Linked DNA regions of Notamacropus eugenii. The protein of the gene in region 3 interacts with the protein of the main gene of each other region in a pairwise test. Links are inferred from orthologs where the notes say so. Each region holds a gene or a part of one and is shown on either strand. Other genes may lie near its edges.

What was found.
Region 1: the proteins of PIN1 (region 3) and RBPMS interact in binary tests that used the Homo sapiens proteins (3 or more experiments, as listed by UniProt). The two-hybrid records come from large-scale screens. The link is inferred for Notamacropus eugenii from reciprocal best matches to the Homo sapiens genes PIN1 and RBPMS.
Region 2: the proteins of PIN1 (region 3) and DAB1 interact in binary tests that used the Homo sapiens proteins (3 or more experiments, as listed by UniProt). The two-hybrid records come from large-scale screens. The link is inferred for Notamacropus eugenii from reciprocal best matches to the Homo sapiens genes PIN1 and DAB1.
Region 4: the proteins of PIN1 (region 3) and THAP7 interact in binary tests that used the Homo sapiens proteins (3 or more experiments, as listed by UniProt). The two-hybrid records come from large-scale screens. The link is inferred for Notamacropus eugenii from reciprocal best matches to the Homo sapiens genes PIN1 and THAP7.

What each region holds. Positions count from the first base shown.
Region 1 is NC_092878.1:167,536,662-167,544,535, forward strand, and holds the start of RBPMS (RNA-binding protein with multiple splicing), read right to left. Parts: upstream 3,011-7,874; 5' UTR 2,932-3,010; coding exon 2,836-2,931; intron 1-2,835.
Region 2 is NC_092873.1:518,367,082-518,375,050, forward strand, and holds the start of DAB1 (disabled homolog 1), read right to left. Parts: upstream 3,007-7,969; 5' UTR 2,600-3,006; intron 1-2,599. UniProt on the Homo sapiens protein: Signaling adapter of the reelin-mediated signaling pathway, which regulates the migration and differentiation of postmitotic neurons during brain development.
Region 3 is NC_092875.1:80,258,771-80,266,296, reverse strand, and holds the start of PIN1 (peptidyl-prolyl cis-trans isomerase NIMA-interacting 1), read right to left. Parts: upstream 3,012-7,526; 5' UTR 2,945-3,011; coding exon 2,887-2,944; intron 1,253-2,886; coding exon 1,052-1,252; intron 1-1,051. UniProt on the Homo sapiens protein: Peptidyl-prolyl cis/trans isomerase (PPIase) that binds to and isomerizes specific phosphorylated Ser/Thr-Pro (pSer/Thr-Pro) motifs.
Region 4 is NC_092875.1:9,169,167-9,175,785, reverse strand, and holds THAP7 (THAP domain-containing protein 7), read left to right. Parts: upstream 1-4,463; 5' UTR 4,464-4,583; coding exon 4,584-5,134; intron 5,135-5,211; coding exon 5,212-5,352; intron 5,353-5,459; coding exon 5,460-5,997; 3' UTR 5,998-6,118; downstream 6,119-6,619. Other genes in the region: tubulin alpha-3 chain, read left to right, coding at 421-717. UniProt on the Homo sapiens protein: Chromatin-associated, histone tail-binding protein that represses transcription via recruitment of HDAC3 and nuclear hormone receptor corepressors.

The DNA.
Region 1 (7,874 bases), on a different chromosome or scaffold from region 3:
AAGTTTGGCTAATTCCGATGTGGGGTATTCCTAAGAGCAGTTGGGATTCTTACAACGTTCTAAGACGTGAGTAGTGAAAGTATCCAAGGCGCAGAGAGATGAAAGGATCCAAGACTGAGAGGGAGAGGGGGTCTTAGAGATGACTGAGGCTAGCGATTCTCAAAGTGGAGTCTGGGGGGGTCCCCAAGATTCTTCTACATCAAACTTATTTATAATAATGATAAGGCATTTTAATTTCAAATACAAGAAGCATCAGTAAATATAACCCACATAAACCGAAGCTCTTTGGGAGGGGGGGCCATGAGACCACACAGTTCTCAGCTGGCCCATCCCAACCAACCCCTTGGTTCTACAGATGAGAGATTAAGGGAATTGTCGGAAGTCACACAGATAGTAAACGTCAAAACTCAGATTTGATCTCAGGTTCTCTGAGTTCAAATCCCATCTCTAATCTCCAGCCCAGGTCAAGTCGCTGCAGTCTTTGCTAGCACCTGCTGTAAAATGTCTTGGAGAAGCTGGGAGGGGAGAAGGTGCATGATGGGAGATCGCTGCTCACTGCCCCCTCCTTCCTCTCCTCTCCCCACCTCCTCCCTGTTCAGAAAAACCTGGAGCCGCAGAACTGCATGTACCAGTCGTCTGAGAGCTCTGGAATGTTCACAAGACCTCCCAACGTGCAGGTTTCTCCGTCCCCCACTCACCACCCAGGCATCACTACTCACCCCCACTCACAAGCACTTTAAAAAAAAGTTGTCCCAGCAGTTATGTCCACGAATGATAGTTTAGTCAGCCTTTCTCACCAGACTGATTTTTCCCTCTACTCCCTTCTCTTCAAGCTCACTCCATAATGAACTGCAGCCAGATGGGCCCATCTCCTGTTCCCTGTACAGGATACTAGAGCAGCTAGGTAGTGCAGCATTTAGAGAACCATGCCTGGAGTCAGGAAAACCAGAATTCAAATCCAGCTTCAGACACTAGCTGTGAGATCCTGGGCAAGTCCTTTAACCCTGTTTTCTTCAGTTTCCTCAGCTATAAAATGGGGATGATTACAGCACACCTATCTAAATGACTCCTCTTCTCACTGCCTGGGCAGCGTGTGTTTGTCCTTCGTTGCCGAAGAAGACCATGCCATCAGAGACATGATGACATGACTTGCACTTGACTTTGTTTTGAGTGAGGGAGGGCTGAGCAGGTCATCAGCTTCACTTCTCCTCCAGAGCCATCTGAATCCAGTGACCAGATATTCATCAGGATGACTAGAGATGACCCAGGATGAGGCAGTTGGGGTTAAGTGACTTGCCCAAGGTCACACAGCTAGTGAGTGTCGAGTGTCTGAGGTGAAATTTGAACTCAGGTCCTCCTGACTCCTGCACTGGTGCTCTATCCACTGCACCACCTAGCTGCAGTAGAGCCTAAAGGAAAGACTGGATGACCCCAGGAGGCTCAGAGGAGAGTCTAGCCCAGGTGTAGGCTGTATTTGCTTGCCTCCTAGGCCCTTTTCAGCATCCAAGATGCTGGCCTTCCTTCCACGGGGTCAGCTTGAAGCTGGAGGATTGGGTCTGGAGTCAGGACGATCTGAGTTCAAATCGGCCTCAGACATTCACTAGCTAAGTGATCCTAGGCATGTCATGTAACTGCTGACTGCCTCAGTTTCCTTAACTGTAAAATGGGGGTAATAGCCACTACCTGGAAGAGCTGTCCTGATAATCAAATGAGATATTTTAAAGCACTTAGCATAGTGCTGGGCACATAGTAGTTGGGCGCTTAAATGCCAGTTCTGCCCCTCCCTGCTTTGCAGAAATTTTCAGAAAACCCAGTGGCAGGAGACAGGTCATCAGGGAAAGGGCAGAGCCAAAGTCTGATCAGGCCAGGGCACGAGGGGAAAACACAGACATTTTCAGGCTTCAGCCTTTGGGGAAGGACAATTCTGCCTCCCAACGAACCTCAGGCAACACTTCAGAACCTGGAGAAATTCCCACCAGGCCTCCCAGCTTAGAGGGGAGATTCCTATCCTCCCTCAGCAGACAGGAGGACCCTTGGGTTCAACTCCAGACAGTGGCCCCTGGGCCCTCTGGAATAACCTTAGAACCAGCAGGCAGAACAGCATTTTAAAGCGTGCAAAGCACCTTACACACTCTCTCTCTCTCTCTCTCTCATCTGATGCTTGAAGACTGTGAGGTTGGCTACTCTATTACTATACCCATTTTAAAGATAAGAAAACTGAAGGGGGTGGGGTTCAGTGCTTGTCCAATTGTCTGAAGTGGGCCACTGTGCTGCCTGGGCCCAATCACTCCATTTCTCCACTCCACATTCAGGAGCCACATTCCTACACTTTTAACGGCTGTCCCAGGAAAGCTGAGGTAAAATGTGGAGGAAATGCTCACCCCAGCTGCAGCCCATGCTGAACTTGTAGTCAGTCCATCCAAACACGGAGATCTTTTTTCTGAATAACAGCCGCCTGGCCATGACTCCCCTATTTTAAACTCAAGAAATGAATTTTTTAAAAACAAGTTTAAGGCCTGATGTCTTGTCAAATTTCAATTTCTTAGAGTAAGTCCATAGACTGAGCCCACTGGGGCCTTTCTAGACAGACTCTGACTGCCAGAGGGTGAGGAAGGCACAGAGATCCCAAGCTGACAAAATGGCAGCCTCCTGGGGTCCCGAACAACACATTTTCACCCGTTTCTTTGCCTTTAACTTTGGGGCCTTTTTAGGAGCAGACATCCTAACAGGATTAGAATCCCTAACACAACATCAACAAAACCAGGGTTGAGCGACAACCTTCTCTGGAGGCCATTCTGACAGACGCAGGCATTTTCAATGAGAGCCATTCCTTACCCAAGCCTTGGAATCTTGAACATCCAAAGTCAGTTTCTCCTTTGCTGAGTGACTCCCAGATCCTCCAAGCCCTGGGCTAGGGCTTCTGAGAGTCATCCCTGGAATTCCATGGCTCAGTAGCCTCTCTCCCAGGCCCCACCCTCAACCCATCAGCTCAACTTCCTTAAAAACAAAATAAAATATATGGTCAGCCTCTATTCTGCTTTTATATACATGAAATCTAAAAATAGGGAGTTAGTGAGTGACTTCTGTTTCTATATTTGACCTAAGTACGTTTTCTCCATTGTTACCAGTCATCCCCCAAAGACACTCTCCACCAATAAGGTTGGGTTTCTAATTATCAGAGAGGAGATTGCTGTTCCTACGGATAGGCCTGGCTTCCTTAGAAAAGGAGAGGTTCACAGCGGTCAACCAGCAAGGCTTTGTGGGAGTAAATGGGAGCAAACGCTAAGAAAGAAAGAAGTCCAGGAAACCTCATGTAGAGGGAGAAACTTAACTTGGCGTCAGGAGACCTGGACAGGAATTGGGCCTCAGCACCTACTTACCAGCTATGTGACCCTAAGCAAGTCACTTCCTCTCTCTCTCCCAGCTTCACCTTCAAAAGACGGGCTGGAGGGGAACAACGGAGAAGAAAGTGTACAGTAATACTGACAGCTAACATTCAAAGACAAAGAGCAAGGCTGGCCCCAGAGACCGCACTGGAGAAGGCACAGCCTTCCTATGGATTTGCAGAGGTGGGCACGCCAAAGATCGTTCAGACTTTTCAACGGCCTGATCATCTGTTTTATTTGTTTTCAGGGTTTTGGGGGTTTTTTGCCTTTTTCCAAAAAAATATGTAGGATGACTGGGGGGTGGGTAGAGGGAGAAGAAATATTGAGTGAATCTTACATTAATACATATTTATGGAATACAATAAGCATGTCCATAACACAGTACAATAAAAAGACAATTGTACGTGAAACTATAAGTCAACTAAACCCATTGCTATTCGTTTCGAACATACAGCAAAATTATTGGGCAAATTTCCTTTTTCCCTTCTTTTTTTCTACCCTGCCGCCACCAAAAATAACAGCTAGCATTTGTTTGCAAAGTACTTTACATGTCTCATATGGTTCTTCCAACAACCTGGAGAGGGAGATGCTATTATGACTCCCATTTTACAGATGAGGAAACTGAGGTAGAGAGAAAGCAATGCCGCAGCCAAAACTCCTCAGCCATCCTAATCCAGAGGCAGGTGCTCAGGCCACCCCAAGGTCCCCGAAGTCTGCTGGGACCTGCTGTGTGCCAAAGGGTCCCACTCTCCCATGCTTCCTGTCAGGCTGGGAAAACAAAAAGCTACTGGCCACAAGCCCTTACCTGGGAAGTTCACGGCCCCCTGGGACTTTGAAACAGAAAAATGGGCTCTGCTCTCAAGGGTTCCATTCTATCGGCAGAATGAGACCATTGCTCAGGTTCTTTCCTCAATTATCCCTAATCCAATCCCAGAAGCATTAATTAAGCACCTACTACGTCCAGACACTAGGCTAGGAAGGTCATCCATTCTGTGGCCCTCAGTTTCCTAGATTGGAAAGGGCTCTGATTAGGTTGAAAAAATGTGTTATTTAGCCAGAAAATTAAAAAAAGAAAACCCACCACTCAGCCCAGCTACATAGAGATGTAGGGCAATGGATGCCAACAGAGCACAGGAAAATGACCAAACTGGGTCTGTCTGTGTGACCGTCTACAAGAACAATCCAAAGTGTTGCCCTCATCAGGCCAGACATAGGACACTAGAAATCTCAGCAGAAGGACATTCAGGAGCCTGGCTGCTGACAGCTGATTACATCCCATAGCTTCAATCTTGTGGTTGAGGATCTCTGTGCCCTTAATAGGTGTGAGAGCAGCACCAACAGAGCCAGGGAGGCCACAGACCAACTGAGGACCTGCACCCACAGAGGAGTGAGTGAGGGAGAGAAGCCCAGCCCCTTCCCCTTCCCCTTTCTCCCCCTCCAAAAGCCTAAGGGGGGCAGGGACTTACTTTCATCCAGGCTGGGGGTTATCTGCATATGGTCTCATCCAACACAAAGGAATCAGGTATTCAGAAGGAGGATGAAGGAGTCCTTTTGTCCTCTCCCCAGGGTCATTTCCGGCCATTAACTACACCTCGGAACCTCCCCCCCCCCCCCAACAACTTCTGAAGGCTCATCATTGATTTTTCTAAGTAGTATCACATAGAAATCAACCAACTTTGCTGGGAGGAGATTTCCTGGCTGTAGGACCGCCAAAAGCAGGGGCTTCCCAAGGCCCACCACTTTAGAAAAGCTTTTTTAACACTCCTCTCCTAAAGAGTAGTAAGGTCTATCGTTATACTTATTCTGCAGATGAGGAAACTGAGGCAGAGAGTGGCAAGCTGATTTGGCATAACTGGAAAATGACATGGAATGCTAAAGACGTACGTGGCAGCAACATCTGTATCACCCAACATCGAGAGCCCCACAAGTGATCGGAACCTCGTACGGCAGTCAAATGGTCTAGAAGATGGCAAGGCTGAGACAATGGAGAGCTGGGAAGAAAGAGGAAAAGGGGGAAGATGGCAATGGAACAAAGGCTGAGCCAAAGTATACACTGGAGTCACTGCAGGGGGAAGCGAGTGGGAGTGAAGGACATACCACAAAAAGATTGGCACCCATGCTGCTGATGGGAAGGACTTACAAAGCCAGGTAAATAGCCAGAGATTTAGAAAACATCCAAAGGACCCGACGTCTGGGCCAGAACTGGGGTTTTATCTAAACTCATAACCCACAGTACAGCACGGCCCCCAACCTAGCCAAAACAAAAGCCCTCGAAATGTCTGGAGGAGGAGAAAGAGAGGGCGTCAGGGCCGGGATCTCTGGGCCTCGAGAGCCAAGAGCCACCAAGGGCTCTTTCCCGTCTGACATTCCTAAGATTTTGGAAGCTGGGTCTGACTGCCAGCATTGCCAGTGCCTAGCCTCTCCCTGGGCCTCTGTTTCCTCTCCGGTAAACCAAGAGCAGCCCACTTGGCCCCTTGAAGACTAACCCTTCCCTCTCCAATATGGGGGCCAAGGGGCATTTGTTATCAGAAACGCCTTCCTGCGTCAACAAGCGTTTCATAAGCGCTTACTATGTGCAGGTGCTGTGTTAGCTGCTGGGGATCCAGAGAAAGGCCAAAGTCGGTCCCCGCCCTGTACAAACAAGGTTGTTGGTGTGTTATTACAGGGGCCATCTCTTTGAATACAAACAAGATGCAGACACAAACAACTGCGTTCTCAGGCAGAAAGCTCAAAGATTAAGAAAGACTGAGAGAGGCTACTTGATGGAGGGATTTCATACAGACTTCAGGGAAGACAGGAGGTGGGGACCAAGAGGGAGGGCATTCCAGGCACAGGGGATGGAGCAGAGATGAGGGAGGGCATTGCGGGCACAGGGGATGGAGCAGAGATGAGGGAGGGCATTGCGGGCACAGGGAAAGCCATCGAAGATACCCCAAGATGGAGAGAGAGATCCTTCAACATCGACACTTTCCAAAGGAGGCTCAAAGACAAGAGGAGAAGGTCCCCTCTGTGCCCGAACCCTTCCTAAAGAAGCCCTTTTCCGGGGGAGCAAAAAGCTAGAAGGGAAGGTCCTTTGAGGAAGGGAAGGGCTGAACAGAACATTGGGTATGGATGGAACGGAATATACGCTGGGTTGGACAGGAAATAATTGAGAGGTGCATGGGGGAGGAGGGTGTCAAGAGGTGGGGAAGACCCAGAAAGGCGTGGAGACTGACTTCAGTCCTCAGACTGAAGCCACTTCCCGTTGTGACCTCGGCAGATGGACCACCTCTCCTTCGGCAGAGGTGGCGGAGAACAGGTGTGGAACAAGGCATAAGCTGTCACGCAAAGGCAACACCTGGAGGCTTCGCCTCAACTACATCTATTTGTTCCAAGGAAGGGTTTGGGGATTTTTAGAAATTGAGTTTTATGGGAGGGAGAAAGGGAGGGAGGGAGAGAGGGAGAGAGAGACAGAGACAGAGACAGAGACAGAGACAGAGAGATGGAGAGAGACAGAGAGAGGGAGAGAGACAGAGAGACAGAGAGAGACAGAGAGACAGATAGAGAGACAGAGAGGCAGAGACAGGGACAGAGAGGAGAGAGAAGGGAGAGAGAAGGGGGCAAGAGGGAGAAAAGAAGAGAAAGAAGGGAGGAGAGAAAGACAGAGAGAAGGGGAGAGAGACAGAGGAAGAAAGAGAAACAATTGCCTCCCCCCCAAAGAATAGGGGAATAGGGGCGGTCCCACCTGCTGTTTCTAGCTCCTGGCAAAGTCAGAAAGGTTGAACACTTTCCACAATGACCACAAAGAGGCCCCAGATCCAGAAGCCAATGATGGAGCAGGTCACCCCGCTGCTGACAGAAGGGGGTGCAAACGGAGACCTACATTTTAGGGCCCGGGCCCACATACAGCTCTCTTCTGCTTGACTGCTTAACAAGGAAGATGTTTTTTACCTTTTTCCTGGGTGATGATTCTGGAGGGAGGGGACAAATATGACCCCCTCAAGGACTAAAAGAGGGTCATTGAGGCAGCTTTCATAATGCACAGCTGGGAAGGGAAGGAGTTCAGAAGGAAGCCCTTGACAAGAAGGCCAGCTCTGAGGGTAACATGTTGGATGTATTCGAATACCTTTAAAAAGAGCAAGCTGTACATAACAGAGATGTGTGGGGCCACATCTCATCCTCTTTTGTATCCGGAAACATCCTTTCTTTTCCGTATTCATTAGCCTCAGAATAAAAGGATTAAAAATAAAACATGCTCTTTGATTGACTGAATAAAACATTTTGAAAGAAAATAAAATGAGGGTGTGGGTTAGATGATGGGTAACATTTCCTCCCTGGTCCCTTCTCTCTGGCTCCCTGTTCCAATCCAAGCTCTTTCGTTGACCAGCGGAGTAACCCTGGCCAAGTCTTTGCTTCCTCAGCCTCTGTTTCTTGATTAACTGTCCTTTTTCAGCTGCAAATCCTGTATCTGAGAAGCAGAGAGGATCGAGGGCTACCAATGAGAATGAC
Region 2 (7,969 bases), on a different chromosome or scaffold from region 3:
CCTCTGAATTTGGAGAGGAAGTAGAAGCAGGGGAGCATTTTAAAGAAGATTTTTTTCCCCTCAAACAATGTAACCAAAGCATACACTGGTCTTCATCATCTTCTCCCTCTTTCTCCTATTTTCCCTTTCTCCTATCCCCTCCTCCCTCTGCTGCCTTCTTCCTTGTTCCATCTCTCCCACATATACCCCTAGACATCACACACACACACACACACACACACACACACACACACACACAGGCAGAAGAATTTTCTCCTAATCCAGAGGATCAAGAGTCTGGACACTGAACATTGTCACAAAAAAAGGCTGGGTGTTTGGGTTCTGTATTGTATCTCACAAAAGCCAGATGTAGAGTAGATGGGAAAGCAGTGTGCCTTCCTGGTCTGGGGCTAAAGGGGTAGGGGAGGCAGCCTGTTGTCTAGTCTGACTCCATCTCAGAGCCTATACTCATCAGGGCCAAGTCATGGGACTGGATAATTTCTATTTGCTAACAAGTCCAAGCCATCCCCACCCCCAATCCATTGAAACCAGACTCCTTGCATCACAGAGGGAAGTCAGATACTATCATACAGAACCATTCATTCCCAGGCACTTTCTGCTCAACTGAGAAATAAAGAAAACCTCAGGAACCCAGAACCTGTGGAATCTTCAGCCAGGAAGGGGGGCTTAGATATCTTCAAGCCCATCCACCTCTTATTTTAAAGATGAGGAAACTGAGGCCCAGAATGGACTTGAAGCTACTGGAAGAAAACCTATATGTAGGACCTGTTGCAAAAGAAAATGCATTTCAACAGGGAGCTGTGGGCATTTTGCCATCTGAATAGAAATCTGCGTTTCCACAGTGATCAGAGAAAACAGATAAAAATAAATAAATAAAAGCCATTTACAATGTGTGTCTGGAGAGGGTCGTGGGTGTTTCCAAGCCACTGCTGTGTTTCTAGCCTGGCTGGCTTAACCATTGGAGGCTGGTGGAGCCCAAGCTGGAGCTGCAGTGTTCTAAGGGTTCTTTTGCTGGGAAGACCTCTTTAATATGGCTGGATTGTAATACTGCAGTGCTAAGGTTCTCCAGCAATAAAAGAAAAAAAAAAAAAGATGCTCAGCACCCAACTTCAGGGTGCTGGAAATATATCTGGCTGCCTTTGCACCCTTCTATAGATGCTGTTTCTAATAAGATTGGCTACATACAAGAGCCTGGTCCCGTTGCACCCCACCCTCAGGGCTTCTGGGGTAGGAAAGCTGGTGCATCTCCCCCTTCTCCTGCCAGCAGCTTTGTGAGGAAGGGGGCCCTCTGAAAGGGAACAGACCTTCTGAGGCATGGCTGAGGAGGGAATTAGGGGGATTGAAGATGACACACCTCTCTGCCAAGCCTCCCCTCGATTTCCAGCTCAGTCTTTGCAGTGATGCTTAATCCAAAGGAATCGTTTTATCAGAGATAATCAATCCACTGTCTTCCCCCTCCATTCCAAACTACCCCCCCCAAAAAAAGCTTCTGGAAAGCACTGACCAGATACCCCTGTGACAGCTCAGAAAATTCGGGTGCCCACCCACCCAAGCCTCTACTCAAATCTCATGAAGCCAATGCATAGCGGTCTCCCTGCAAGGTTACGCCTAATTGGCCACTAACCTAATTGATTAATCATCTAATTTCCTAGGAGGCTTCAAGATACAGACTGAGGGGTGGGGATAAGCCTGAAGCCCGCATTTCAGAGGGGGGAATGGCAAAGAGTCCCCTGCACGCAGGCTGCAGCTCTCCCTGCCCGCATGTTCATCTCGGGAAGGAGGGGATGGGGCTGACTAGAGCCAAGGATCAGAGCGCAGGGAGAACGACCGAGTGGTGCCTCGATTTCCTCCCAGGCGAGGCTCAAATCCCAGGCAAGTTGCTCCCCTCCAGCCCTGGAAGGGTTACTCTGCTCGATGTGGTCACACCGCCTGGGCTTCTCCTGGCAGACCAGGGAGCTTTCTCCCACTCCTCCAGTGAGACTCAGGGTCTGGCTCCCTAGCGCTCCCTTGGTCCCCCCACCTCCGCGTAACGACCAAAGCCCGTCCAAGCCCGCTGCTCAGCTTCGCCTGGCTAGAACAGGAAGCCCTGAGCCAGGACGAACTTGGCCTGGCCGAAAGGGGCTCCGGGGCCACCAGGCAGGCTGGCTGACAGCCTTCGGAGTGGGAAACAAAACTTTACCTTCAAGTGCCGCAGCCAAGCATCTCCCCCACTGCCCACCCCCTGACCCTGAGTGGCGCAAGGTCCAGCCATCGAGAGCTGCCCCCATCCCTCCCTAGGCTGCGGACGCCAGACTGGGAGGGGGGCTGCTCCCGCCCCCCACTTCACCACCACCTCCCCCCCTTCTCGCTCTTTTCTTGGCCGCCTCCACCCACCCCTCCCCGCTTCTGAAGCCTTCTCCCGAGGCGCCCGGGCTCCCCCTCGCCTTTGCCAGGCAGTCGAGGAGAGCAAGGTGCCCAGAACCCAGACGGGGCAAGACAAATCCCATTTCGCGGGAGGAGGAAGGTCTGAGAAAGAGGGCTCTGGGGAAGGGGCACGTCCCCCCGCCTCCAGGCTGCCCCAGGCTCCCACCCGGCCAGTTTCCCACCTCCGCCCTCCTACCTTGAGCCGGCACTGCGCTCGCTGCTCCAGCCTCGCTCCACTCATCCTCTTGTTGCAGGGGCAGGAGGGAGGGAGCGACTGGCCAGCTCTCCCCGATTCCCCCAGACGCTCAGTTCATGCCGGGCTAGGATTCTGGAGGGGTCCCTCTTCCCGGGCTGGGCGTCCGAGGGATGCCACGTTGGTCCCTCCAGAAGAAAGACTTGGGCACGGCGTCTAAGCCCAGAATATCCTCAACAGTTCCCTCCCAGAGAGCCGCAGCTCGAGCTCCAGCTACTCAGAGGCAGCCGCGGAGACAGAGCGCCCGAGCTCCGCAGGCCACATCTTTCATACGCTATACATCACTACCGCATTCCCCCGAATAGGGGAGCCCCTCAGCATTTCGTCAGCCAGCTGGCGCAAGACGTGGGCTCCTGGGCTGGGCGCGCTCCCCGCGCGGGCCAGACCGCCCCCCACCCCCACCCCAGGCTCCCCCGAGAAGCCGGGGCGAGGAAGGATGCAGCTGCTGCCTCGGGAGCCAGGTGGGCCTGGGAGAAATGCCTGACACGCGGGAAGTCCTGAGCCCCACCCCCCCACACCCCCTGGGTCTGGTGCCAGCCTAAGGAGGCTTTGGCCTCTGGGCACCGAGACCCTGGGGAAGTATAAGTGAAGGACCAGTTTCTCTAAAAGCCCCAGAGATTCTCCAGGTGTCAGCGAAGGAGAAACCCCTAGCAGCGCCCTCTTATAGGCAAGATAACTCTGGGCTGAAATGCAGCCTCTCATGCTTACTACCTGTGGGAGTTATTTCATTCACCTGAGCCTCAGTTTCATCATCTGTCAAATGAGACCAGGTGGGCTCGGAGGTCTCTTACCTTAGAATGTCTATCGCGAGGGCCTAAAAGTCAGAAATAATGGGGTTCAGCACTGCCTCAAAGGCTTACTAGCTGTGTGACCCTGGGCAAGGCAAGACAAGTCAACCGGCACCCTTAAGTGATTACTAACTGGCCCCGCGTTGTGCTGACCCTGGAACTACAAAAAGGGGGGAAAATTACTGCCCTCAGAGAGTTTGCAGGAGTCACAAACTCTCTGAGCTTCAGTTTCCTTATCTGTAATATGAGAGGTGTGGCCTCTGAGGTCTCAACTCTAAAGTGATGATCCTATGATTCCTAACCAACCTGACACCCCCCCCCCAAAAGAGTATAAAATGTGATGACACAAGACTCCTAGTTCATTTCAGAGAGAGAGAGCAATTCCACCTCTTTGTGACCCCATTTGGGATTTTCTTTACTGGAGTGGTATGCCACTTCCTTTTCTAGTTCCTTTTACAGGTGAGGAAACTGAGGCAAACAGAGTTAAGTGACTTGCCCAGGGTTACACAGCTAGTAAGTATCTAAGGCTGGATTAGAACTCAGGCCCAGACTGACTCTAGGCACAGAGCTCTATCCACTGAGCCATCCAACTGCTTATTGACTTCAGTAGGAAAGCTTATTAAAGACTTTGTATTCTCAGCTTTTTGCATCCTACCTCAGCACTGACAGTATAGCTTTAAACATGCTAGATGCTCAAGCATGTCTTGATTGGTTAGATTCACAAGAATTTTAGATTGATCTGGAAGGAGATTTTAACCAAAAATGTTAAAACATAAAATGTAAAATGACAGCTCTAGAAATCACCTTACAATAAGTACAATAGATTATTCATATTGAACTTTAAGGTTGTAAAGAATGTTGTTCTGGGTAAAGAGATGACCTTCAATGTGGGAGGACCTGGGTGCATGTTGCATCTATGAAACACAATGCTGTGTGATCCTAGACAAGTGACTTAACCTCTCTATTATCTCATTCCTCTCCAGAATGAACTCCATACTTTCTCTAGCATGTTTATCAATATTCACCCTGTTTGCTTCATAAAGATCACTCTTGACTTTGACAATACCTCTTGACTTTCTTCATGGGTGTAGGATGTGTTCAGGGACGAGCAGTACCTTTGGTGTGATGGCTGCTGAGCCCTGTTTGCGGCTCTCTCCACCTTTGGTGTTCACCTATTGCACTCAACTCTCACCTGTAGCTCCAAAAAGTTTCAGCATGCACAGTGGCCACACTCCTGTAAATCGTTTCAGCAGATGGGCCAAACCAAGATGAGGGTAACCAAAGGGTCTCAGACCCATTGGTGAATTAGGGGGGTGTCTACCCCAAGCATGTGAAGACTTCCTCTGGTGGAATGGGCAGATGAGAACAATTTGTTCTAATGGCCATGAAGGCAGATGCAGCAGGCAATGTGGAGTGCTTAGAGCTTGGAGCTTGGACACTGAAGATGCCAAGGTCATCCACTGCATCTTGAACCATAGTTAGCTGCCTTGACCAGTGGACTATAATGATTCTGGAAGAGAGAGTGAGGTTGACAACTTCATGAAACTCTGCCTCACTTAAATCCAATTTATTCATGAATCAAAAGACATCACCCATACCATTTCACTATTATGCCTCAAAGTTGGGTGACGATAGGCAAGTGATGAAGCAGCAGGTGTGGAAACACTGGGAGCTGTAGTCATGACCCTGAACATAGGTGGCCCAGTCCATAGGGTCATTTCTCACTAGTAGCAGCAGTGGGACTCAACAGCCCCCTGGGTGCCTGAGCAGCCTTTTAAGGATCGCACTGCTCACCTCCTGGTGTAAGCAAGGGGGCTAGAAAAGGTACCCTAAACATTGTCTGCTTACCCAACCCTGGCCTGATTACCATGGTAGGTAGGGAATCCCACTCTGTGGTTGAAACACAAAAAAAATGTACAAAATGTACAAAAACATCTGCAAAGATGATTCCCCTCATCATTGGCACATGGAACGTGCACACATTTATAGGCAACACAAAATCCAGTAGACCTGAAAGACAAACTGCTCTTGTTGCAAGAGAACTCAACAGGTGTCGTACCCAAATAGCAGCCCTGAGTGAAACAAAGTTGGCAAATGAAGGCCAGCTTATTGAAATTGGAGCTGGATACACCTTTTTCTGATGTGGGAGCAGTGAAGGGGAGTGCTGTAAAGCTGGCGTGGGTTTTGCCCACTAATCTAGTCAGCAAACTGGCATACCTGCCAAATGGAGTGAATGACAGGCTCATGAAAATGTGATTGCCACTCGCAGGAAAATGCCATGCCACCATCATCAGTGCTTATGCTCCCACCATGATGAACCCTGATGAGGTCAAAGAAAAGACCTAGAGACCCTTATCATCAATGTGCCAAAAGAGGACAAGATTATAATTCTGGGTGACTTTAATGCTAGAGTAGGTTCAGACTACCAGACTCGGCAGGGAGTCCTAGGGAGGAATGGAATTGGAAACAGCAACAGCAATGGTCATTTCCTGCTGAAGACTTGTGCATCGCATGATCTTCTCATCAATAACACTGTCTTTTGCTTACCTAAATGCAATAAAACTTCATAGATGCACCCTCTCAGCAAACACTGGCATCTAGTAGATTATGTGACTGTAAGGAGAAGAGACAGAGGATGTGAGAGTGACAAAAGCAATGTGTGGTGCAGAGTGCTGGACTGATCATAGACTTATCCTTTCCAAGGTAAATATTCACATTCATCAAAAGTGCCACCCCCAAGGCAAAATGACTGCCAGAAGAATTAATGTCAACAAATTAGAACTCTTCTCTGAGTGTGAACAGTTTGTTTCTAACTTGGAGGGAAAGGTGAGTCAGCACATAGTTGGCAACAGTGGAGCAGAAAAGGAGTGGGCAGCTCTCAGAGATTTGGTGTACAGAACTGAATTTATTCATCTGGGTCAGAACACTCACAAACACCAAGACTGATTTGATGAAAATGATGGGAAAATTCAGAAGCTGCTAAAGGAAAAACGAGAACTCTACAGGATATACCAGCAGGATAATTCATCCACCTCTAAGAAAGCAGCATTTAATTTCACCAGAAGCAAAGTACAAGCAAAGCTTAGAGAGATGCAGGATTCCTGGTTCAGTAAGAAGGCAGATGAAATTCAGTTTTATGCTGACAGTAACAATCCAAAGTGCTTTTATGATTCGTTGGAAGCTATTTATGGACCAAAACCTATAGTGCATCACAACTACTCAGTGCTGATGGAGCCACATTGATTAGTGATAAAGACATTATCCTAGAGAGATAGGCTGAACACTTCCATGTTCTAAATAGACCATCATCCATCAATACTGAGGCCATTGACCGTTTACCTCAGGCTAAAGTCCTTAGCTGAACTTCCAACTGAAGAAGAGGTTTTGAGGGCCATTAGACCCCTTTCATGTAGCAAAGCACTTGGTGCGGATTCTATTCCAGCTGGAATTTACAAGATAGGGGGACCATTGCTCATACAAAAGCTGACTGAAATTTTCCAGTTTATATGGCAAGAGGAAGTTATCCCCCAGCAATTCAAGGATGCTTCCATTGTCCAACTCTATAAGGGTAAAGGGAATAGATTATCCTGTGACCATCACAGGGGAGGGAGTCTCTCTCTTAGTCAGTGCTGGCAAAATTTTTGCTAGAGTCCTCCTTAATAGGCTGATCCTTCACTTGAAGGGTGGTAACATACATACTAGATGTAGCCAGCATGGCTTCAGAAAGGGCTGAGGAACAGTCGATATGGTGTTTGCTGCCCAACAACTCCAGGAGAAATACTAGGAGCAGAACAGAGGTCTGTACACATTTGTAGATCTGACTAAGACCTTTGACATGCTGGTCATAAGGGCTTATGGAAAATTATGTCAAAATTTGACTTCCCAGAGAAGTTCATCAGTATTGCATGTCAATTTTATGATGGCTTGTTTGTCTGGATTTTGGATAGTGGACAATGCTCTCCTACCTTTCCAGTCACCAATGGAGTGAAACACGACTGTGTGCTTGCTCCCATGATTTTTAGCATGATTTTTTTTCAGCCATGTTATTAAATGTTTTTAATGAAGATGAACACAGCATCAAGGTCAACTACCATGCCGATGGTAAGTTCTCCAAGTTGTAAAGTCTACAAACCAAGACCAAAGTGGAGTGAGTGTCAGTGCATGAGTTTTGGTTTGCAGTTTCTGATTGTGCACTCAATGCAGCCTCTGAAGTTGAGATCCAACAAAGGATGGATCAATTCTCTGCTGCCTGTGCTAATTTTGGCCTAATAATACATACCAAAAAAACACAGGTGCTCCAACAACCACCACCACACCATACATACATGGAACCATTGATTACAACAAATAGAGAAGTTTTAAATGCTGTGGATAAGTTCACTTACCTTGGGAGTGTACTTTCCAGGGATGTACACATTGACAATGAGGTTGATGCATGCATTGCCAGAGCTAGCTCAGTGTTTAGGAGGCTCCAAAGAAAAGTTTGGGAGAGAGAGGACTACCTAACTGAAGGTCTATAGAACTG
Region 3 (7,526 bases):
GGGTAATAATTCTAATGCAGCAATATGGTAAAGTCATTCCTCCTCTACTCCAAAACCTTCAATGGCTCCCACTGTTTAAACAATAAAATCATAACTCTTTAGTCTGGCATCCAATGCCTTCCAATAACTGGTCCCAATTTTGTTTAGCCTTTCTTCTAGAATTCTCCAACACACATGCCAGTTCCTTCAATGCCTTCCAAACGTATCTTCTGCATTCCCATCTCTATAACTTAGCTCAAGTCATTCCTCTCACCTGGACTGCCCTCTTCCATTAATTCATTAAAATCCTACCCACCCTCTTCCATGAACCCCATCCCAAGTTCACGAAGCTCTCTTCTTCTGAACCTGGACAGTGAAACTCAGTGTCTGCCCCACATTTTAGGCAATGGTGGCCTCATGATGTTAAACCACTTTCTGTGCTTTAATTTTGTTTCTCCTTACTAGCTTCCCTTAAGTTCTGTAAGGCTAGGATTGTACCCCACCTTCCTCTTCCTTCTTCCTAACTTGGGGCAAGGCAGGAGGATAGCACTGGTGCTAGGCATAACAGGTACCTTGTAAATGTTTGTTGCAGCAAGAAATGGGGCCTACAAAGGACATTGCCCCCACCTGGAGATAAAGAGTTCCTTCCCCAGGGTAGGCTAAGCATAAGGGAATCAGCATCTGGTCAGGGTCTTTTAGAAAAAGGGAGGGAGGGAGAGATTGGCATCAGGTTATCTGCTATAAAGATGCTAACGGTTAAACGGCAGTATGAAGGAGGATGAGTTACGGACCATGGGTTGACACTTTTTGGATCAGTTTTATTTTTAACAAATGGTATTAATACACATTGACAATAAAAGTTACAAAAAGACCATCTTGGTGTTACAGAGGTCAGGGAGCAGAGGAAAAGGGAGAGTTCTGTCCTTAAGCCACATCAGTAAATCCAAACCAAGGCCCTGGGCACATGTGCTCCTTTCCAGGTACTGCAACCCATTCCATATCCAAGGCTGGCTTGGGCTCTGGACCCAGTTCCCCTTTGTCTCCCCCCAGGCTCCTCCCACCCAGTACTTGCCATTGATCAGCTCCAACGCCTCCTCTTTGCTCCGAGTGATCTTCTCCTGCCGCCAGGATGAGGGCCTCCGAGACTGGCTGTGTTTCACCAGCAGGTGTGAGCATCGGACCTTAGCAGGTTCACCTTGACCATTCTTGCCCACACTGCTTGGACGCTCCCACTGGCTGGCATTGGTGATGTGGTTGAAGTAATAGACTCGTCCTACAGAGACAGAACAGGAATGTGTAGCACACGTTACATTGGGCTTTACACACTTAGAAAGTGGGGAGGATAGGGGTACACACTGAGGCTGAGGTGAAACAGAGGGCATACAGGTCACCCTAAGTCATACAAGGCAGACAGGTAGGAAAGCACTGGTTACCCTGGGCCATAGAAGCAACAGAAGCCACTGGTCATCCTGGGTCTTGGGAAGTACAGGGTGGGATGACCCTGAACCATAAAAGGGGCAAGGCAGAACAGGGTGAGCACCTGTCATCCAGAGCCACAGAAGAGGCTGGGTCACTCTAGACACTGAGGGGGGAGGAGTAGAGAAAGTACCAGTCACTCTGGGCCTTGAGTGGGGTGGAGGAAGGAGAGAAAGCATTAGTCACCCTGGGCGTTGAAGGGAATGGGATGAGAGCATAGGGTCATTTTTGGCTTTTTGTGGAATGGGAGGAGGGACACTGATCACCTTAGGCTTTATGTGGATGGGGTGAATACTAACCCTTTGGGCCTTACATATTGGAGTGAGGAACATCAATCACCTTGGGCTTTACATGGGGGTGGAACACCAAACACTTTAGGCCTTATGGCAAAAGGAAGCAGGGATCACCCTGGGCCTTACGTGAGGGGAGCACCCCTGATCATCCTGGGCCTTACATGGGACAGGGTGGTGGAGAGCACCCGTAACCCTGGGCTTTATGTAGGGTGGGAAGCACTGATCACCCTGGTCCGTATGTGTGTGGGCGAGGAAGGGAGGGGAATGAGGAGTACTAATCCCTCTAGTCTTTATGCTGGGAGCATTGATCACTCATGTGGACCTTATGTGGGGGGGAGATGGAGCACTGGTTACCCAGGGCCTTATGTGGGGGGAGGTTGGAGCAGTGATAACCCTGGGCTTTATGTGGGGTAGAAGGATGAGAAGCATTGATCACCTGTCCTCGGACTTAGGAGAGACTACTCATCCCCCTTGGTCTTGGGGAGGGCAGCACTGATCCCCCTGAGCCTTATATGGGGGGAGGGAAGCTGGAGGGAGGGGAGCTGGGGGAGGGTGAAGAGCACTGCTCTCGTAGGCCTTACGTGGGGGCAGAGCACTCATCACTGGGTCTTGGGGAGGGGAGCACAGACCCTCCTAAGGTGAGGGAAGGGAAATACTGTTCCCCGTGGGCCTTATATGGGGCAGGGGGATGGGGAGCAAAGATCATTTGGGCCTTATGTGGAGAGGGGGAGGGGAAAGCACTCTTCACCCCTGGTCTCGGAGAGGAGAGAATCGATCCCCCTTCTGTGGGGGAGAGCACTGATCCCCTTGGTTCTTATGTGGGGGAACGGGGTACTGATCGCCCCTGGGCCTTTACAGGTTCTGGGGTTCCTTCGATGGGGAAGGGCGAAGGACACGAAGGGGCCCGGGGAGCCCAGCCCCGTTCCCATGCCGGGGGTCCAAGGCCGGCCCGTTACCTGGCCTCCTCATTTCCTGGGGCGGGGCTGGGGGGTGGGGGAGAACTAATCGCGCGGGGCTATCTTTACAGGGCCGCAGGCCGTGGGATGATGGGGAAGGGGTGCAGGGCCCGAGCCCGGGGTGTCCGCACTCATTCTTCTCCTCCCGGACCCAAGCGCGCCCTCCCTCCACCCCGTGGCACCTGAGCTGCGGCTCATGCGCTTCTCCCAGCCTGACGGCAGCTTCTCTTCGTCCGCCATCTTCCCTCCTGCCGCAGCACCCGCTCCGCCTCCGCCCCGCCGCCCCCACCGATTGGCTTAACGCCTCCCGCACCGGGCCCTGGCCGTGTCATTGATTGGCTGTTCCCACGGCAAGGCCCCACCTCTGGCCTCCTCACTTGCTGCCAGAAAGGCGCGGGGGCGTTGCCTCTTGTCACTCAGACTCCGCCCACAGACCCTGCGTTCCCTAACCCACCCCTCTTCGAGCCCAGCTCCGTAAGTGGTGGAATGAGGAACAGAGGCCGCTCCTCATTATGGCCATTGGTCACAAATAGAAAGACCACCCCTTAACTTCCGCTTCTAGCTTTAGGGCATCCCCTCCTTCTCGGAAAGAATGCCGCTCGCTGATTGGCTGCTGGACCTGTAATTCCCTCCTTCTCAACAGTTCTCTGGGCCTTCGGGTAAGGAAGCAGCACCAGAAGGGCGGGGAAATTGGAGCCCCAGAGGAACCGGAGGCCTGATGCTCTGGGCGCGTTGCTATGTTACCTCGTTGCCATGGTTTTGCTCAGGCTCGGGACCCGCATCCTGGGCTCAGTTCCATTCAGAGAAGTGGGAGGCGCAGCCCTCTGCCCAGCTCTCTGCTCGATCCTTGTTCAGCCCTCTACTGGACTTTAACCAGCCTTCTTCAGAGTCCTTATCTTGCCTCTCCCCAGTTCCCGTCCAGTTCTTATCAGGCCCTCTGCCCAGCTCTTGTCCGGTTACCTGCTAGTCCTTATCCTTTGCCCGGGTTTTGCCCTATCCTCGGCCAGCCTTTTGTCTGCACCTCACCCAGATCATGCCTAGCATTCCTCTGGTTATCCCCATTTTCTTGTCCTGTCCTTTGCCCAGCCTTTGCCTCTGCCCAGTCTTCTGCTTTGTCCTCCCCAGTCTTCTCCTTTGCACTTCAGGTCTTTTCTGGCTCTATTTTCTTCACAGTCATTTGTTTAGTGAGCAGGGCAGTGTTAAACACTGAGATATGATATGTGGTCAAGAAGCTCTCTCAAAGTTTCTGGGCTCACTCTACTAGATTTGATCCTATGGAACTGACTCTCCGTAGTCCATTTCTCTCTTTGCCTTGATATACCTTAACTTGGAGTTCTCCAGGTAAATCTCTAAAATAAAGCTTAGGCAGAGTTCTCCCTCTTAGTTTCCCCAAATGTCTCATTTGTACAGTTATTTGTACATTGTTTCTCTCATCAGACTGTAAGCTCCTTAGGAATAAGCACTGTTTTTCCTCCAGCACTTAGCACAGTGTCTGGCATATAGTAGGAGCTCAATAAATGCTAATTGATTGGCAAAGTTTCCAACTCGCACTCAAACACAAGTTATGCAACAGACTTGATTTCCCTCACCAGAGAAAATGCCTAAGATGCAAAGGACTCACAGAGGTCCATGAGCAAACAGAGAAACGTACATCACTCAAATAACCTGTTAGACTCATGAAAACACTTTGGGGGTGCTGTTGAACAATCTCCCTTCACATTGGACCTGTGCTGATCACACAGCTCATAATAGTGGAACTAAAGAGGTCCAGACCTCTTCCCACCCTCCTCAAATGACTTCAATACTTTATTTGCAGGATGAGCCTCTATGTTATCGGTCCTCTTATGCCTTCCAGGACAGTATTGAGGAAATCTCCCTCCTATGCCCAAATTTTAAACTTAAGGAATCTTCAATTTCAGGCTTGTAATGTGCTTTTCTTATAGGTTGCTCTTTTCTCCTATTGCTTGTATTTTAGTTTGGAAGATCAAAGAAAGCGCAAGAAAAGGAAGGAACTGAACAATTTCACAGATCACTTTTATAGACTATGGTGAAAGTGCAACTATTCTGACTCTCAGTTACCAGTTATCTTGGAGGTAGCCCTAGTCACTGAGAACCAAGCAGAGGAGTTTCCTTCTCTGCGTACCCTCAACAAGACACTGAGAAGTGTATTATATACATACATACATACATAAGTGGTACACATATACTCACAAAATCTCTCATGGTTTTCTGTGGGAAAGATGGAAAGATATGGGATACATAATAGTACAATTAGGTGAATTAAAAAGTGATTGAAAGGCCAGACCAGAAGAATTAATAGTTCATGTCTGGGTATCAATTCAGAAGTAAGTCTCCAGCGGAATGTCCCAGTGATTTATTTGTACTTAACCTTGTGCTTTTTAAAATTTATGGGGTTTTAAATTTTTTATTCTGAACTTAACAAACATCAAATAAAATGATTGTCTTCATAAAGGACAGAGAGGTTTATACAGGAAACTGAATGTCTTCTTTTTTTATATAATTTCACATGTAGCTTTCTAAGCTGTTCTGCTTAATTTATATTCCTTCTGACCTTCCTTATTTTCTCCTCTGTTTGGGGGTAAGGAGGGAATCTTATCTCCATCTTCTCTCTCCCTTGCACCTTCCCCCTTCCAGTGGAAAAAATATCCATAGCTTTTGTAACATATCCATAGCCAAGCAAAAGAAATTCCCACTTTAGTCATGTTTAAAAATTTATACACCTTGAGTTCCTCATTTCTCTGTCAGAAGGTGAGGTGATATGTTTCTTCATTAGTCCTCGGGAGTTATGGTTGTTCATTGCATTGATTTGAGTTTTTAAGTCTTTCAAAGTTGTTTTTTCTTTGTGATGCAGTCATTGTATTAATTACTTTTTTGATTCTACTCACCTTATTTTGAATCAGTTCATACAAATCTTCCCAAGGTTCTCTGAAACAATCCATTTCAGCTTTTCTTACAGTCCAATATTATTCTATTACATTCATATACCATAATTTATTCAGCCATTCCCCAGTCAATGGACACCCCCTAAGTTTCCATTGCTTTGACACTTCAAGAAGAACTGTAAATATTTTTATTCACATAACTCCTGTTCTTCTTTCTTCCATCTTTTTAGGACATAGGACTATATGTCTGGTAGTGGTATTGCTATCCTGTACTGTTTTTATTGATGACTTGAATAGATGGTCTGCTTATAAAATTTGCAGATGACACAAAGATGGGAGAGATGACTAATACAATGAATGACACAGTGAGGATGCAAAAAAGATCTTGATTGGCTAGAGTATTGGACTGATTCGATGAAGATAAAAATTTAAAGTAATATGCTTGAGTTTAAAAAAATCAGCTTCATAAATATATCATGGGTAGGGAAGAGGGTGGGCTAAACAACACTTCATCAGATAAAGATCAGGGGTTTTAGGGAACTTGAAACTTATTTAACAGAAGACCACAGTGTAATAATATGGCACCCAAAAAAGTTAATGCAATCTTAGGCTGCATTGAGGAGTAATAATGTCTGGGAGGTGATAGTCCTATTGTATCATAATACACAATAGCTATACTCCATCTAGGAAGGAAAACAAAGAAACAAGAATTTATTAAGCATCTACCATGTGCCGGAGCCCTGTGCTAAGTACTTTACAAACCTTATCTTGTTTGATTCTCACAGCAACCCTGGGAGATAGGTGCTATAATTATCAATCCCATGTTATATCTGAGAAAACTGAGACTGATTAGTTGGTTGGCTGTTGTCCTTTGTTTTTGAGGAGAACCAAAATGACATCACCATGATAAAGTGAAGTTTCAGTGTGTCTGACTGTGGCTGATCAGACCAACACAAGCTCGAAATGCTGTTCTACAGATTGGGCACAGATAGTCCATGTGAATGTTTGGGTGGATACTCCAAATTTGCACATCCTACGTTTCCTTTGTGCTGTCTCAATTCTGCTTTGCTCATAGAGCACAGCACCTTTTCTGATGTGGAAACTGAGGCAGACAATGGTTAAGTGATTTGTACAGGATCATCCAGTTAGTAAGTGTCTGATGCTTTATTTGAACTCATCTTCCTGACTTCAAGCCCAGCACTCTCTCCACCATGCCACCTAGTTGCCCCCAGAGTATTGTATTAATTTCTGGGTGCTACATTTTAGGAAGGACCTTGCTAAGCCAGAGGAAGTTCAAAGTAAGGCAGCAAAAATTTTGAAGGGCCTTGAGATCATACTATATGAGGATCAATTGAAGGATGCTTAGCCTGAAGGAAAGGAGATTTATGTGGAACATGATAAGAATCTTCAAGTAGCTGAAGGGCTACCAGGGAGTAGATTTGTTCTGTTTGACCCTAGAGGACAAAACATGGAGCAATGAGAGGAAGTTTCCCAGAGTCAGATGTAGGCTTTTGATGTCAGGAAAAATTTCCTAATGATAAGAGCTGTCCAGAAGGAGAATGGATTTCCAGGAGGAAGGAGATTCTTCCTTACTGGAGGCCTTCTAAAAGAGGCTCAGGGGCCACTCATTGGAAAACCACAGCACTGGCAAGATTCAAAATTTAACCTAAGGGGGAAAGAAATGAAATATTGCTCTGAAATATGAAAATTAAGAAAATAGGAATTCGGCTCCATCTCTACCTGCATTTGGAAAATCCTCTGTTCTCAATTCATCAGCCTTATTCATAAGACTCAGATGATTGATTTTTTTAGTGGTGACATGACTTGCTTTTTTAAAAGTCACATAGTCAGGTTAATAAAGGTAAAGAACCTATCATATAACCAAAGTATAGAGGAACTGGGTTTTTCCTATCATCTCA
Region 4 (6,619 bases), about 71 Mb from region 3:
GTCACTAGTCCAACCCTCCTCCTTCCTTCATAAAATCTGTATTGATGGGGAACAGCAAGTTACTCTAATCCTTTTGTATGGTGACCCTTCAGATACGAGCATCATGTCTTAGCAGCATCTCCTCGTTGTCAGAATGGGGCACTTCCGGCCTCTGCATGAGGCAGCTGTTTTGATGCAGTCTCAGTTAGTGGGCTGCCATGCTCCTCTGTTGACCCAGATGGAGCCTCTGGCCGTTTCACTCCCAAACCTCCTCTGGTCATTCTCTTTTGGAGAAGATACCCCAGGGGATTGCATTGTGCCTGGGCCAGTCTGGGCAGGTGACTCCACCTCGGTGTTGCTCTGGCCAAGGGAGTGTGCCCATCTGGGAGTTGTCTGAGCCACAGCCTGCAATTTTCAATTAGCCTTCCCTCTCCTTGACAGGTGGGCATCAATTACCAGCCCCCCACGGTAGTGCCTGGTGGTGACCTGGCCAAGGTGCAGCGGGCCGTGTGCATGCTAAGTAACACCACAGCGATCGCAGAAGCGTGGGCACGGCTGGACCACAAGTTCGACCTGATGTATGCCAAGAGGGCCTTTGTCCACTGGTATGTGGGGGAGGGCATGGAGGAAGGTGAATTCTCGGAGGCCAGAGAAGATCTGGCAGCTCTGGAAAAAGATTATGAAGAGGTGGGCGTCGACTCGGTGGAGGCAGAGGCCGAGGAAGGAGAAGAGTACTAGGGGGCAGCGTCACTTCCCACCCCTACAAGTATACCTGATTACATAATTTGTTTACAAATAAACATTTCCGTATTAAAGCAGAGTTTGACTCCTGCCTGTAGATGCCACTTTACTGGAATCCCAAGACCACAGATGCTTGTCTTCATGAGAGGCATCACCCTACTGTGTGGCCAGTGAGGGTTGGGGGAGGCCCTGCTTGGGCCACTGGGACTGCTGGGCTAGGTGGTGGTAGCAATGACCTTCTCTTGACAAAGACCTCCTAAAAATAGGGGCTTCCCACTGCTTAGTCTGCTCAAGCTTTTCTGGGACAGGCTTTTCTGCCCCAACCTAAGTCCACTGGAGAAAAAGGGAAACGGGATGCCAAACCAGCTCCTTACATGAGGGTGGAGAACCCCTGTAGCCCCCTGAGATAACAGCCCAGGATCAGGCTGGAGCCTAAGTGGCTTGGCTCTGTGCAGTCATGCTCAGAACCACCAGAGGGTGCTCCCGCCTCAAACGAGAGCAAAGGGAAGTCTTGTGGGTTCACAAGGCCCTGCTTGGGCCTTGCCAATGACCAGGTGGTGGAAAGAGCTTGAGGTCTGGAGTCAGAAGAAATCCTGGTTCCGTGCTTGCTACCTGTGTCTCCTTAGGCAAGTCCCGTTCTCTAGGCCTCAAATCTCCCTTTGTGCCATGTGATCTCTAAGACTCCTGAACTCTGTGCCCGCAAAGGGAAGCTCCCCAGAGTGAACTCTATAGCTTTTGGCCACTGTGAGGCCCACAGCGCCTTCAGAATAATGTTTTTACATGCATGAAAGAAAGGATTCCAAAGGAAACCTGTTGGGAGGCAATCAACATTTTTTTAAGTTTACAGACTCCAAGTTAAGATCTCCATGGATATGTGCAGGGACCTGAATAACCAATAGAACATAAATTCCTTGAGGGCAGGCAGGAGTTTTTCACTTTTGCCTTGAGTTTCCAGAGCTTGCGTGAGGGTATTCACTCAGGCCCCACTTGAGGGGCAGTCAGGCCACTGTCCCTTCATGGGGCTTCTTCTTTGCCATTGGCTGGAGCCTTCACCAGCTTTGTACACATGTACACACACACACGTGCACGCACATGCCCTACCTGTTAAGGGGCCAGTTTCATTTAAACAACATTGATTTGTTGTTTAGTCATTTCAGTTGCATCCAGCTCTTTATCACCCCATTTGGTGTTTCCTTGGTAGAGATATTAGAGTGGTTCACCATTTTCTTCTCCAGCTCATTTTACAGATGAGGAAACTGAGGCCAACAGGGTGAAGTGACTTGCCCAGGGGTCACACAGCTAGGGAGTGTCTGAGCTTAAGTCTTCCTTACTCTGTCTGGTGCTGTATCTACTGCAGCACCACCCAGCTGCCCTAACATGAATTAGTTTTTACAAAAGGATTTTTACTTCCATTCAGCCAGGACAAACATACAGACAGTTCCCCTAAAGTCAGCAGGGCATACTTTACTCATCCCACCTGGGTCCATAGACAGCATTTGTCTGCCCTAGTTCATGTCCAAAGGCATCATTTCTGCTGGAGGAGCCTGTCTCCCTTCCGGCGGGTGGAGGGTCTCCTGGCCCTGAGGCTGGTTTGGCCGCAGTGCTCCCCAAACTTCTGAGAGTCCCCTCCCTTCACAGGATGCCGTGAGGAAAGGAGCCACAGGTCCCTCCAGCCGTGAAAGAGGCTACCAGGCCTCCAGGAATGTCCCAGTAGCTGGCTTTGTTGCCTCATGACATAGCTAACCAGAAGCAGCAAGAGGGTGTTTACACATTTGAGACACTGACTGCTAACTATGGATCACATTGTCATGATTGTCCCAGAAGCAGCTCCCCAGGTTCTCCACGTGGGGTGGCACTGTCTGGAGGGACCTGGGCACACGCTGCATTCCCACTAAATAAGCATCGGTTGACTGGACTATTTTTTAAAGATGTGAAGCAAGAGCAGATGAATGCAGAAGCATGGTTGGCAGAGGCGATGAGCTCGTGTCCCCTAGCCTTCTCTTCCTGAAAAAACAGAACTGAAGTGGCTGATAATGCCTGAGATGAGCCGGGAGGTTGGATGAGAGCTTTGTTCAATTAACGTCAAAGGGCCAAGCTGATGAACTGCCTTCAGTAAAATTGTCATGAGGTCGCTGGGTGGATGGAGCACTAAGTCTGGAATCAGACCTGAGTTCAGATCTGGCCTCAGACACCTACTAGCTGGGTGACCCTGCGCAAGTCACTTCACCCTGCCTCAGTTTCCTCTTCTGTGAAATGAGCCGGAGAAGAAATCGACAAACCACTCCAGTATCTGCCAAGAAAGCCCCAAATGGGGTCAGAGTCAGACAGGACTGACCTGAATTCCTAGTTATTGTCCCCTTGAAACGGCATAAAGTGGGGCGGGAGAATGGATAAAGGGGCCAGGGCCCACCACGTCACGCAGCATTAAAGATCAGTGAACGTGGAGAAGGGAGTGGCAGACAGCAAAGCGCTGCGGGCCGAGATTCTGACCACGGCCTGAAGGGGTGGAACCCTGCCTACACGGGAGGGTGCGGGCAGCACGCGTGGGGCTGCCAAGAAATGGAAAGGGGGCACTTCTCTCACAGTGGAACAGGCCTCTCCCCCTCACTCACGATCTCCAAGGGAAGCCCCATCACGTTTTACAGTCAGGGAAACTGAGGCACTCCAAACGCAGCCCTCTCGGCGGACCAGAAGGGCCGACAGGCAGCGGCTGGGTGGATGCAGGGCTGGACCTGCAGTCCAAACGCTTCTGGACCCATCCCCGTTTCCAGCTTCCCAGCGTGTGCTCTTCTCGGGTTAGACCGCGCCCCTTGATTTGCATTTGCACCCCCGGCGCTCAGCCTGAGCAGGAGCCGGATAAGTGATTGTTGGCACATGGGTCACAGCGCCCCTGCGCACCTGCCCTCCAAGGCGATGGCGCGAAATAAATGCCCTCCTGAGACTCAGTTTCCCCAAATCTAAATCGGAAATATGAACTTCCCCGGGGAGGTGGGGGAGGGACGAGGGGAGGGGCTTACGCGAGGGACGACCTTCCCTCAGGCCGCACCCGAGCCAAGCACCGATCATTCCCGCCGGCCCCGCCCCAGACCCTCTGATTGGCAGAGACCTTTCCCCTCCCACCTCATCATCACACAGCCCCGCCCCCTCCCAGTCAGCGCCAGCCTTCCGAGCCTCGCTCTCTCCCCGCCGCCGCGCTGTATCCTGGGTAACCCGGCCACTAGCTCGTCTCACTGCGCAGGCGCGATCCCCGCCCCCTCTCCCGCCGTGTAACGGTGGGCGCGCTCTCGCGAGAGCACGTCAGCGGCGTCGCGATGGAGGAGCCGTGAGTGCGGCCGAGGGGGAGAGGGGTCGGGGGCGGACCCGGGAGGGGAGCAGGGGGCGAGGCCGGGCGGAGGGGAGGGGCAGGGAGGGTCGGGGCGGCGCGGCCCGAGCGGGCCGAGGGAGGACGCCCCGCATCGGCTGAGGCCACACCCTTCCATCCTTCCTCCCGCAGATGCCCCGGCACTGCTCGGCCGCGGGCTGCTGCACCCGCGACACGCGTGAGACCCGAACCCGCGGGATCTCCTTCCACAGGTGAGCGCGCCCCCGCCCGACGGCGCCTGCGCGAGCGTGCGCCTGCGCGGGGCGGGGCTGACGGCGTGGGCGGGTACTGCGCCTGCGTGGGCACGACTGGCCTCGCCTCCAGCAGGGGGCGCTGGGGGGCGGGGGGGAGGGGAGGGCGTGGGTTCACCTGCCCTGGGAGGCTTCCCCCAGGCCCCTACTGCTTGTGCGGCGGACACTGCCCCAAGGACTAGACGGGCCTGCCGTCTAAGGGAGACCTGAGGGCCTACTGTGTGTGGGGGGAGGGGAAGGGGAAATGCCAAATGATGGGGGGGGCGGGGCCCGCACCAAGACTTGGCCCAGGGCCCTTCTCTTTGACCACGTGGCCGCTCAGACCCCGCCCTTGGCCTTCCCTGGGTGTTTCATCTCCAGCCTCCGAGCCTTTGCCTTGGCTGAGCCTTTGCCCTGGCTGTCCCAGTTTTGCATGCCCGCTCTCCGTCCACCCGTCTGACCCCCCCCAGACGGACCAACCCCATAGCTCGGTCTGTCCACCCTGGGCAGCGGGCGCCGCTGTCGCCCTCATGTCACATATGAGGCCGCAGGGCGGGGGCACGCAGCTGGAGGAGCCCCAGTGCAGACCCCATCGCCCTGCTGTGCGCCCCGGGGGTGGGCTGGGGAGCCCCGCCCTGCTAAGGGCTGCGGGCGGGGCTCCCCTCAGGCTGCCCAAGAAGGACAACCCTCGGCGCGGACTGTGGCTGGCCAACTGCCGGCGGCTGGACCCCAGCGGGCAGGGGCTGTGGGACCCCGCGTCCGAGTACATCTACTTCTGCTCCAAGCACTTTGAGGAGAGCTGCTTCGAGCTGGTGGGGATCAGGTAGGCCCCGGGGGCGCCAGGGGCGCTGGGGGCGGGGGGGCGCGGCCGCCCGCGGCGCTCACCGGCTCTCCCTGCAGCGGGTACCATCGGCTGAAGGAGGGAGCCGTGCCCACCATCTTCGACTCCTTCTCCAAGCTGCGGCGGCCGCCCAAGGCCAGGGCGCACGGCTACCCCCCGGGCTCCCCTGACCTGGCCCGGCTCCGGAGGCGCAGGCGCCGGTATGTGTGCCCAAGGTGGCCCCCTGGGGTGGGAGGGAGGGAGGGCTGAGAGGAGGGGGCGGGGGGAGGGGCAGAGCCCTGGCCGCGCCTGACGCTTGCCCCCACAGCTGCCAGGCCGGGAGGGCACCCCCTGCCCCCGCAGACACCTCCCTGGCGGACGGGCCCGCCCCCGCAGACGTCCCCTGCTTCCCTGGGGAGGAGCCGCCCCCCGAAGGCCCCCCGCTGAGCCTGCCAGCCCTGCCTCCGTCGCCGGCCCCCAGCGGCCTCGTCAGCCCCTTCTCCGACCTCCTGGAGCCGCTGGAGCCCCACGGGGACGCAGCCAGCTGCGGGAGCCCGCCGTCCCCCGAGCGGGGGCCCTCGCCCTCGTCGGCCGCCCGGCCCGTGTCGCCCTCGGCCTACATGCTGCGCCTGCCGCCGCCGGCCGGGGCCTACATCCAGAGCGAGCACAGCTACCAGGTGGGCAGCGCGCTGCTGTGGAAGCGGCGGGCCGAGGCCGCCCTGGACGCGCTGGACAAGGCCCAGCGCCAGCTGCAGGCCTGCAAGCGGCGGGAGCAGCGGCTGCGCCTGCGCATCGCCCGGCTGCAGCAGGAGCGGGCCCGGGACAAGCGGGGCCAGGCGGAGCGGCGGGCCCTGGAGCCGCAGTGACCGCGTGGGCCCGGCCAGACCTCGGACCTAGGACCTCGGACCTGGCGGGAGCCCCGGCCGGACCTCGGACCTCGGACCTGGCGGGAGCCCCGGCCGGACCTCGGACCTAGGACCTCGGACCTGGCGGGAGCCCCGGCCGGACCTCGGACCTAGGACCTCGGACCTGGCGGGAGCCCCGGCCGGACCTCGGACCTCAGACCTTGGGGCCGGCGGGGCTCTCCTTCCGCCCACCTCCCCCGAGCGCAGGCGTCTGCCCCTGCCTGGGTCCGGCCCAGCAGCCAGGGGAGGTGGCTCCTCCCGGGGCGGCAGAAGAGAAGAGCCAGCAGAAGCCAGGGCTTTGTTCACTTGGCGCAGCAAACCGCTCCTTGGTGGCGACTAAAGACGCTGGAGACCCAGCTCCTCGCCAGGCTATTGAGGCCCCTCTCCTAGGAGGGGCAGCTGGCAGTGCCCACCGCTTGGAGCTCCAGGCGGACTTCATTGAAGGCCATCCAGAGAGGAAGTGATCAGTATGGCATCACACAGGCAGGATGGACGCACCACCCGCCTTTCTCAGCACACATGAAATCCGTGGTCATTCTTCCCACGAGCCTCCTGATGGGGTTTATTCTTTCTGAGAAGCCAT